2 linked regions of the Schizosaccharomyces pombe genome follow. The protein of the gene in region 1 purifies or fractionates together with the protein of each later gene. This does not show direct contact. Each region holds a gene or a part of one and is shown in the gene's direction. Other genes may lie near its edges.

Evidence for each region.
Region 2: the proteins of zip3 (region 1) and ptr2 purify together in Schizosaccharomyces pombe (co-purification; one study listed by BioGRID). This does not show direct contact.

The regions. Positions count from the first base shown.
Region 1 is NC_003424.3:5,316,150-5,320,349, forward strand, and holds zip3 (ZIP zinc transporter 1), read left to right. Parts: upstream 1-1,725; 5' UTR 1,726-1,789; coding exon 1,790-3,151; 3' UTR 3,152-3,379; downstream 3,380-4,200. Other genes in the region: 2-oxoglutarate-Fe(2+) oxygenase superfamily protein Ofd2, read right to left, coding at 1-342.
Region 2 is NC_003423.3:3,404,931-3,410,306, reverse strand, and holds ptr2 (PTR family peptide transporter), read left to right. Parts: upstream 1-1,947; 5' UTR 1,948-2,614; coding exon 2,615-4,471; 3' UTR 4,472-4,732; downstream 4,733-5,376. Other genes in the region: bbl1 (phosphatidate cytidylyltransferase), read right to left, coding at 5,157-5,376. UniProt on the Schizosaccharomyces pombe protein: Uptake of small peptides.

The DNA.
Region 1 (4,200 bases):
ATCCTGTCCTTTCCACAACCTTTGTTTAAAGTCACTAGGGATATAATCATTTAAACAGTTAATATGTGCCGGAAAAGGTATATACAGATGCGACTGCTTTCCAGAACCATATATTGAAAGAAGTTCCTTAGGAACGTTATTAATCAGATTTCTTTGGACAGATTCGGGAAGACAGTTAGGATAATAGTTTATACCCTCAATCGTCTCAACTGGTACCACCGTCCAATTTTCAAAGTCATCCAAGTAATCATCTTTCTCCTGATCTACTTCTAGCAAAGCTTCATCAAATTCCAAACCAGCGTCTGACAGCAGAAACGAATCGCTCATATTTTCATACAACATTTTCTAAACTGAAACGAAAAGATTGCTAAACTATCCGTAGCATCTGTTCTATGTTCACTTTGAAATTTTGTTAGAAAGCAATTTCTCCGTTTTTACAACTAAGATTCAGATCACCAGTTAAATGAAACTGTCTAGAAAATTGGGTTCTTGAATTATGAACGCGGTTTCGCCAAATAAATCTCATGTTTTTCTACCACATCCTTCCCAACATTGTTACCTAAACATATTTAACAACCCCATTTGAACGGTGAACAAGTTTTTAAAAACCTTAGTATTAGAGTAGTATTATTCATATAAGTAAATTTTAGAAAACTAGTTGTTGGATTCAAAGGTTTCTCTCATGTGGTGTGGAGAACGAAAAAAGCGATTTTGGCGTTAGAATTGATGAGCGAGGCACTTTTGGGAGGGTTTGAAATAATTAAAATTATTCATTTTCATCAAATCACAGTAAGTAGATCAGTGCGATTTTACAGTGAGTCTTGGATGTTCATCTTTTTTACTTGTAAGCTCTTAAAATATCGTAGAATTAATAGGGTATTTGACCGGTCGAAAATGGTTTAACAATAATTAATAATTACTGAATATCACTGGTATAAAAAGTTCATACATATTTTGCATACAGGCTCATTGACAAAAACCTTAGGTGGATTTTTTTGTGGAAAATGGAATTGAATCAAATAAATGGATGCACGAATATAGAAAAACTCGTTAATTCAATTTAAAGTCCTTTAAAGGTGAAACCTAAAGTCAGAAACACTTGAAATAAGCAAGCATGAAAAACGGCAGTAATTTTTAACAAAAATAGCGAAATTGGTAGATTGGCTTTTTGAAGAATATTACCGCTAAGAAAGCTTGTTATTACATTCGAAAATTTAGAACCTCTGACTAGCAAAGTAGGAGCTTTCAGAACTCTTAAACGTTAATAACTTCATCATGTTCTGTACCTTCTCTTGGTATAATCACGAAAAGTGTGGTGCACTTGATTGGAAAAAGCGATAAATAAACCCCATTAGTTTCTGTTTCTTCTTTTTCTCGAATTTAACATATTCCTATAACATTGGCTGTAACCTTTTAAATGAATTGCCAAAGTCATTTTCCATCATCAATTATCTACCTGTATTTAGAAAGGAAGAAGTATAACAGAAGCACACACACCCAAATTTACTCACCCGAATTTTTATTGATTTCAAGTTCTTGTCGTAAATATAAAGCATTCATCTTTTAAAGGAAGAATTAACGAGTTCCCATTCGAATAACTTTTTTGTAAATAATTACTTGGAAGTTAGGTAACATCAATAGTGAGTAGGCAAGTAACAAAGGAGTACCCTATTATTGGTACTGTATTGACGCATTATAGCCCTTGGCCACAGATTTTCAAAATTCACCTTCCCCTTAAACATCAACCTGGCATTTGGGTTTTTACGGGATTTCATCTACTATTTTTAAAATGTTTTTATTGCAACGGTTTTTCATTTATGGGTTGTTTCTAGCATGTTTTTATACAACGGTGTTTGGAGAAAAACATTTTGAAGCGGAGGAATATAGAGACTCCTTTTTATCGCAGGAAAATATGAATAAAATTAATCATACAACTATAGAAAGGTTGTTCCGAGAAATGACAGAAAACGATCCCTCTTTGCTTTCTTCCTCAAAAACTCTGGCTGAACTTAGTAAGGGAGAACTTGCTAAAGCACGCGAAGATTTGAAGAGCGTCTTAAGTTTTTTGAAGAATAATCTGCCTGTTGATACTGAATCATCGTCAGAGGCTTTTACTATAGAGAAAGACAACAATTCTTGCGTTTGGTTGAATTCAGTTAAAAGCTTTGTAGAGAAGCAGTTCTCTTACTCCTCGGGAACGAATGGAATTCTCGCGACTTTCTTAACAGCAATACCACCTAACATTTTTATTCTTCTTGTTCCCAAGTCGTTCGACACGAGTATGTTAAATCTGTTCGTGGCAGTTTCTGCAGGTAGTTTATTAGGCGATGTTTTTCTACAATTACTTCCTACTGTGTATTCGACAAATGGAGGAGATTTTCCAGCATCTTCTGTTTATTCAATCCTTATTGGAGCCCTAGTATTCTTTCTAATGGATAAGGGAATCCGCATTTTAATACATGAGCGTCCGTCTTCGCTCTCTAAGCCAAAGAAAGACGGTGAAGAGACTTCAAGTGTAAACAAACCTTCTGCTTCTTCAACTCAAACTGACGTTAAAGGAGTGGAAGGATTGCGGAAACGAAATGTCAAAGATGATCAGAACTCTAAAGGTCACGAGCCTGATTTGATTAGACATGTAGTTGAAGAAGTTAGTGAAGAGTATAACGACAAAACTGTGGTATATTTAAATTTGTTATGTGATTCATTTCATAATTTTATGGACGGTTTGGCGATCACTTCCGCCTTCTTTACCAATACCTCCATTGGCATATCCACCACATTTGCTGTTCTATTACACGAAATTCCAGCAGAAATTGGTGACTTGGCTATACTTCTGAGAAATGGGTATACGAAATCGCAAGTACTCGTGTTGCAAATGATCACTATGGTGACGGGATTATTGGGAGCAATTGTCGCTACATATATATACACTGCTTCATCTTCATCTTCACCATATGGTTCTTTCCTTCTACAACTTGAGGATAAACTCCTTCCTTTCACGGCTGGTGGTTTCCTTTATATAGCTTACCTAGGCGTATTTCCCGAGCTTTTGGAAATCAACTTATCAAAAGGAAAGCTGGGAAATATGATTTACACGGCATTGTACATGATGTTTATTGTTGGAGGTTTTTCTTTTTTATATTATGTTTAAAGTGACAGATAACTTACATTAGGGCGTGGTATGGAGTTGATATTGTACTATTCTAGAAATATAAATCGGGACTAATATTTTTTGTCCTTCATTTTTTCTGGCATTGTGCTTTGTCTTTACATTTAATATTAAAAAATTACACATTTATGAAGATGTGTAGAAACATTATTTTAGTTCTTTTATTAACTTGTTAATTATTATGGTAGAATTAAGTTGTTCACATTCACATAAGGCGCTTTCGTGTTCAAACTTGTAATTTTTGATCCCTCTTATTTCAAAATTTACGCGCTTTAAATCGTTTAAGAGTATTTTTATTTCTTTTCCATAACCTGTTTCTATTCTAGCTGACAGAAAAGATTGTAAACAATCGGCATTGAGAGTAAACAAATAATGCCAATTTAAAATAACATTCAATGTTTTTGCTTTTCATAAGCGAAAACACGTTTTGACCAAACCTGACAAGACTAAAACTATATGGAATATTATTATTATAAGGGTAAAGGAAACGAGTAAGAATTCAAGGGCAATAAACAAAACATCCTAACTTTTTTACCGTTGTTTCTATCACCATCCTAATGTTTTGAGTTTTCATCATTGTAACATTCCTATGTCAAACAGTGGATGAAAACACTTGTTACCCAAGTCACAACTACTAACTGTTTTACAGTACTGTTTTTAAGTTACTCGTTACTTATATGTAAACAATACAGTTGCTAGATATGGTAGTAAAAAGTATATAGGGTATAAGGGAAAATATATTTCATTACTTCAAATCGATAAAGATTTTGAACCAAAGAATATATAAGCACCCACTTTTTGAAAAAAATTTGTAAAAAAAGTCGAGCAAATATATATATATGATGGTATCACGTAACCTCGTTATATATCATAAAATTAGATGGTAATTGGTCAAGGATGCAACCTCGCATTAGAAAGTGATGAGATGGATCGTTCATAAAAACAATCCAACCACTACCTACTAAATTGAGGAGACCTCAAACCATTTTCGTCCGTTCATCGGTAAAGAAATCATCCCGATGCTTTGGTGG
Region 2 (5,376 bases), on another chromosome or scaffold:
GCCAAAGTAGTATCAACTTGTGCACCGACGACGAGATAGAAAAGTCAAGTCAGAATCAGCAATGCTAGAAGCATAGATATCGATGTGACATTGCATACTCCTTCGTTATTGGGGATTTATTTACTAATGCTATCAAACTCAAGTTTCTTCAAAGTTATCATGAACTTACTATAAGAAATCTGATTCTGTGATAGAAGATATCGTTTGGAATTTAGGGTATACTATCTGTTGCTAATTTGCATACTTTTTGAAGTCTTGTGCCTCGCCTTACACAACCATCTCGTTTGCTTGACGGAGGGTAGGGTATCGCTGCATAACGAGTTGGACCATTTCTTACTAGGCTTTCCCGATACTTTCAGCAATCTTGCAGCATTATGGTTTCATTTGGCAAAATGAGGGAAAATGGGTGCGAAAAATTGCTCATACACCAACAAGTCCGTTTTGGAGTGTGATATGTTCATTTCCGTGACAGTTATACCCACTACTATTAATGCTATCACTATTCTTCCTTTCTTACTTTACTTTACCTTACCTACTTGTTGTCGTCCCTCATCATCTTTGCGACAATTCATGTGGGGGTAGGCGAACTAGTCGCTTTTACTATCTCTGCCACCCACGATGTTTACCGGGTTCGAGGTTCTTAAAGAGAAGACCTTGTTTCCTCGTGCACACACCGTGCTACAGCAGACCACTCACCATTCGCATACATAGTTTTACCTTGGTGAATCGCCAGCGCTAATCGCGGAATACCCGGGGAAGGAAACAAGAGAGAAGAGACACGCGAACGTGGTGTAAAGGCCGATGTCGAGAAGAAGGAATGAATTCAACGGTTAAATAAATAAATAAAAACAACAATGTAACACTCATCAAACGATTACATAAATTTAATAAATATGCAAAGTATTAAGAATCTAACAAATATGTAATTATTATTAATGAGCAAACTACAAGTAAGCAATGAATACAACTCAACCCTCAAACCTCTAAAATTATTGAAAAACTTCGTTCACCTGTATGTCGTCGTGAGAGAATAAGAAACGTAGAGGATGTGTTTGTAAATAACAATATGTATGACAATACATAGACAGTCATCTCTTTTCTACCTTTTCCCTCATCCTCATCCATACTCATATAGTAACACTTATACCTTTTACTCTCACTTTCACATATACTAACTATATTGTCTCACATTCTTTCTATACCTCTCCTCACTCTCATTCTCACTCCTGTAGTGAAACTTCTATTTTTGGCACTATAACGTGCTACTCGTTTTTTCCATATGCTCTGCACGTTGTGCTCTTGACCATTTAATTCCATGCACCCCACTTGGTACCCAATTTCATCCCCACTTTTTCGGTCAAGTACGACTTTCCACTTCAACCATGCGATGTGGTGGCACAAAAGTCCTAAATGGAGGTACACGAGTTTTTTCTATCGTTAAGCAAAAACACGCAACTGAACAAGTGCGCAATCCTTCCGCATGATAGTGGAGTAGATGAAAAAAACGGCATCACACGAAGAAATCCAAGCTTATCTATTTCCAGCGGATTTACCAATTTTCACCCCTTTTTCCAACAGGTCACACGTTGTGCGATATGGTTACTCCTCGTGCATTTTTAATCAAATAGATATTCCGCACTAACGTTTTTGTCCGAAATAACATTTGATTTATCCAATCAACCATCAAACCCACCTTTCACGCATTGACCTTAATTATTAAAAATGTGCAGTCTAGACCGGTCCTCCCTCTTTTTTGATTTATCTGTAGGGAAGATAATAAACTTTTTCATACCACGTTTCCTACATTTACGATTTGTCTATCGCCTATCGTGCTTTGCTCACCGTCATTGATAAAGGCGTGCATGAACACGTGGTGACTGCTAAATCAGTGTGGACAAATTTCATTTTCAGCAGTATTTATACTTGAAAATTATCCCCTCAAAAGACATCCTTCGTCGTGCCGTCTAGTCTGTGTTTTAGAAGTAAGAGAAATTCAAAAACCTTGAGTGGAAACTCCTCATCGTTCGTATAATTAATCGTTTGACCTCTTTTGTTTGGAGTTGTGACTTTCTCCACACTTTCACATACATACACTTTTAATTTCCAAGTATTTATTTAATACATTAAGGAAAAATTTTTTCATTCTAAAAATTTTTCTTTTTTTATTATTATTGTCATAAATACTTATTTGTTGTTGTGTATATTTAATCTTGTTTTAAATACCCTTTCTCACTCTCACTCACTTTCATATTTCTTACTCTTAGTTGAGTTAGTCGGCCTTCGATACACATATAAAAGTGTTTATTTTAACTTTTTTGTGAATTCACTTGTCAATTTTGTGTAATTAGTTTGACTAATTATTATTATTATTATTTTTGATCTATTCTTTTTTTTATCTTTTGTACTACAATTGTTTTTTAATCTTTCGCTTGTTTACGTTATTTTTCTCTTCCTCTTTTTTTTTTTTTAATATTCGCCTCTTTTGTTTTCTCGTTTCATTGTAATTATTTTATACCCAAAAATTGTTCTTGAAACTTCTGTTCATTCTCTTTTTTATTATTATTTTTGATTTTCATACGATCGATTTCCTACATTCAATTTACCTGTGTTTACAATGAGTAGCATTGAAGAACAAATTACGAAATCGGACTCCGATTTCATCATTTCAGAAGATCAATCCTACTTAAGCAAGGAGAAAAAGGCTGATGGTTCTGCCACCATCAACACCGCTGACGAACAATCCTCCACCGATGAACTCCAAAAATCCATGTCCACCGGCGTCCTCGTCAATGGTGACTTATACCCTTCTCCTACCGAAGAAGAATTAGCCACCCTTCCTCGTGTTTGCGGTACTATTCCTTGGAAAGCCTTTATTATCATTATTGTCGAGCTTTGCGAACGTTTCGCTTACTATGGTCTCACTGTTCCCTTTCAAAATTATATGCAATTCGGTCCTAAGGATGCTACTCCAGGTGCCCTTAATTTAGGCGAAAGCGGTGCTGACGGTCTTTCTAATTTCTTCACATTTTGGTGTTATGTCACCCCGGTTGGCGCTGCACTTATTGCTGATCAATTCCTTGGTAGGTACAATACCATTGTTTGCTCTGCTGTCATTTACTTTATTGGTATCTTGATTCTTACATGTACTGCTATTCCTTCTGTCATTGATGCCGGAAAAAGTATGGGTGGGTTTGTCGTCTCTTTGATCATCATTGGTCTTGGAACCGGTGGTATCAAATCCAATGTTTCCCCCTTGATGGCTGAACAGCTTCCAAAAATTCCTCCTTATGTAAAGACCAAGAAAAATGGTAGCAAGGTCATTGTTGACCCCGTCGTCACCACCTCTCGTGCCTATATGATTTTCTACTGGTCAATTAACGTCGGTTCTCTCTCCGTATTAGCCACCACTAGTTTGGAAAGTACTAAAGGTTTTGTTTACGCATACTTGCTTCCCTTGTGCGTCTTTGTTATCCCCTTAATTATTTTGGCTGTTAGTAAGCGCTTTTACAAGCACACTCCTCCCTCCGGTTCCATCTTTGTTCGTGTTGGTCAAGTGTTCTTCCTTGCTGCTCAAAACAAATTTAATCTCGAAAAAACTAAACCATCTTGCACTACTACTGTTGGACGCGTTACGCTCAAGGATCAGTGGGATGACTTGTTTATCGACGAATTGAAACGTGCCTTACGCGCCTGCAAAACTTTTCTCTTTTACCCTATCTATTGGGTATGCTATGGTCAAATGACCAACAACTTAATTTCTCAAGCTGGACAAATGCAAACGGGTAATGTCTCTAACGATCTTTTCCAAGCCTTCGATTCAATCGCCTTGATTATTTTCATTCCCATTTGTGACAATATCATCTATCCATTATTGCGTAAGTATAACATCCCTTTCAAACCCATCCTTCGTATTACTTTAGGGTTTATGTTTGCTACTGCTTCCATGATTTACGCTGCTGTTTTACAAGCAAAGATTTATCAAAGAGGCCCTTGCTATGCAAATTTTACTGATACATGTGTTTCCAATGACATCAGTGTTTGGATCCAAATCCCTGCTTACGTTTTGATTGCTTTCTCTGAAATTTTTGCCAGTATTACTGGTTTAGAATTTGCATTTACCAAGGCCCCTCCTTCAATGAAATCCATTATTACTGCTTTGTTCTTGTTCACCAATGCATTCGGTGCCATTCTATCTATTTGCATTTCTTCTACTGCTGTCAATCCTAAGCTTACTTGGATGTACACTGGTATTGCCGTCACTGCCTTTATTGCTGGTATTATGTTTTGGGTTTGCTTCCACCACTATGATGCTATGGAAGATGAACAAAATCAACTTGAGTTCAAGCGTAATGATGCGTTAACGAAGAAGGACGTTGAAAAGGAAGTTCATGATAGTTATAGCATGGCAGATGAGTCCCAATACAATTTGGAAAAAGCAACTGCTGAAGAGGAAATCATGAAAAGCACATAATACTTAATTTAACTTAATTCGTATTTGCGGGATGCCAATTTTTCTTTTCTTTTTTTTTTTACAAAATTTCCCAAAAAATTGGGGTTTGCATGTTTTGTTTCCATCTTTTTTTTTGTTATGATGCCGTTGTTCTACTGATGCTCCTTATTTAAATGCAGTAGTACTTATCCACTCTCAGAAAATAGAGTTTTACAGTGGGTCTATATACCAGAATTTACTACAGTGTGATTTAATGAAAATATATATTGCTGTGCATAATTTAAAATATTAAAGAAAGTATCAAATATGTTGAAAATAAGAAATTCTTTAGCGGTAAACAAAACTGTATGTGTTGAGACAAGAAACTGTTTTTTAGTAGAACCGACGTGAGATTAGTCCAATAATCAACTTTTCTAAGCGTTTGCGAATTAAGCTAGCTCACTTAACCAACCTGATGACAAAAGTTTTTGATGAAAACTAATTCGGAAAATGTCAAACAAAATTTTTAAGGTGAAAAACTGAAAATTATATAAAGCAAACGAACGACTAGATCTAGTTTGGAGTTGACTAAAAATTAGACATGGGATATCAAAACTTCCAAGCAATAACGAATGACTAACAAACGGAAGTCAAACTATACATGACAACGCATTTAATAATATAAAAGACTGGCTAGTAAACAAATACGAGGATAACAAAGTGTAAGCTATTTTGAGTTTTGAAGAAGTTTGGAACAAATAGCTTGAACACTAGTTTTGCCATGACTGATGAGATAGTTTTGTAAATCTTCAACAAGTTGCACTTGCTGAGTGGTCGTGAGGCTATAAACTGCTGTATCCAATAAATCAGCAACAGATGTACTCTTTTCTGCAATAAATGATTGGAAATACATATAAACGAAGACTCCATTTAAAAACTGGCAATCC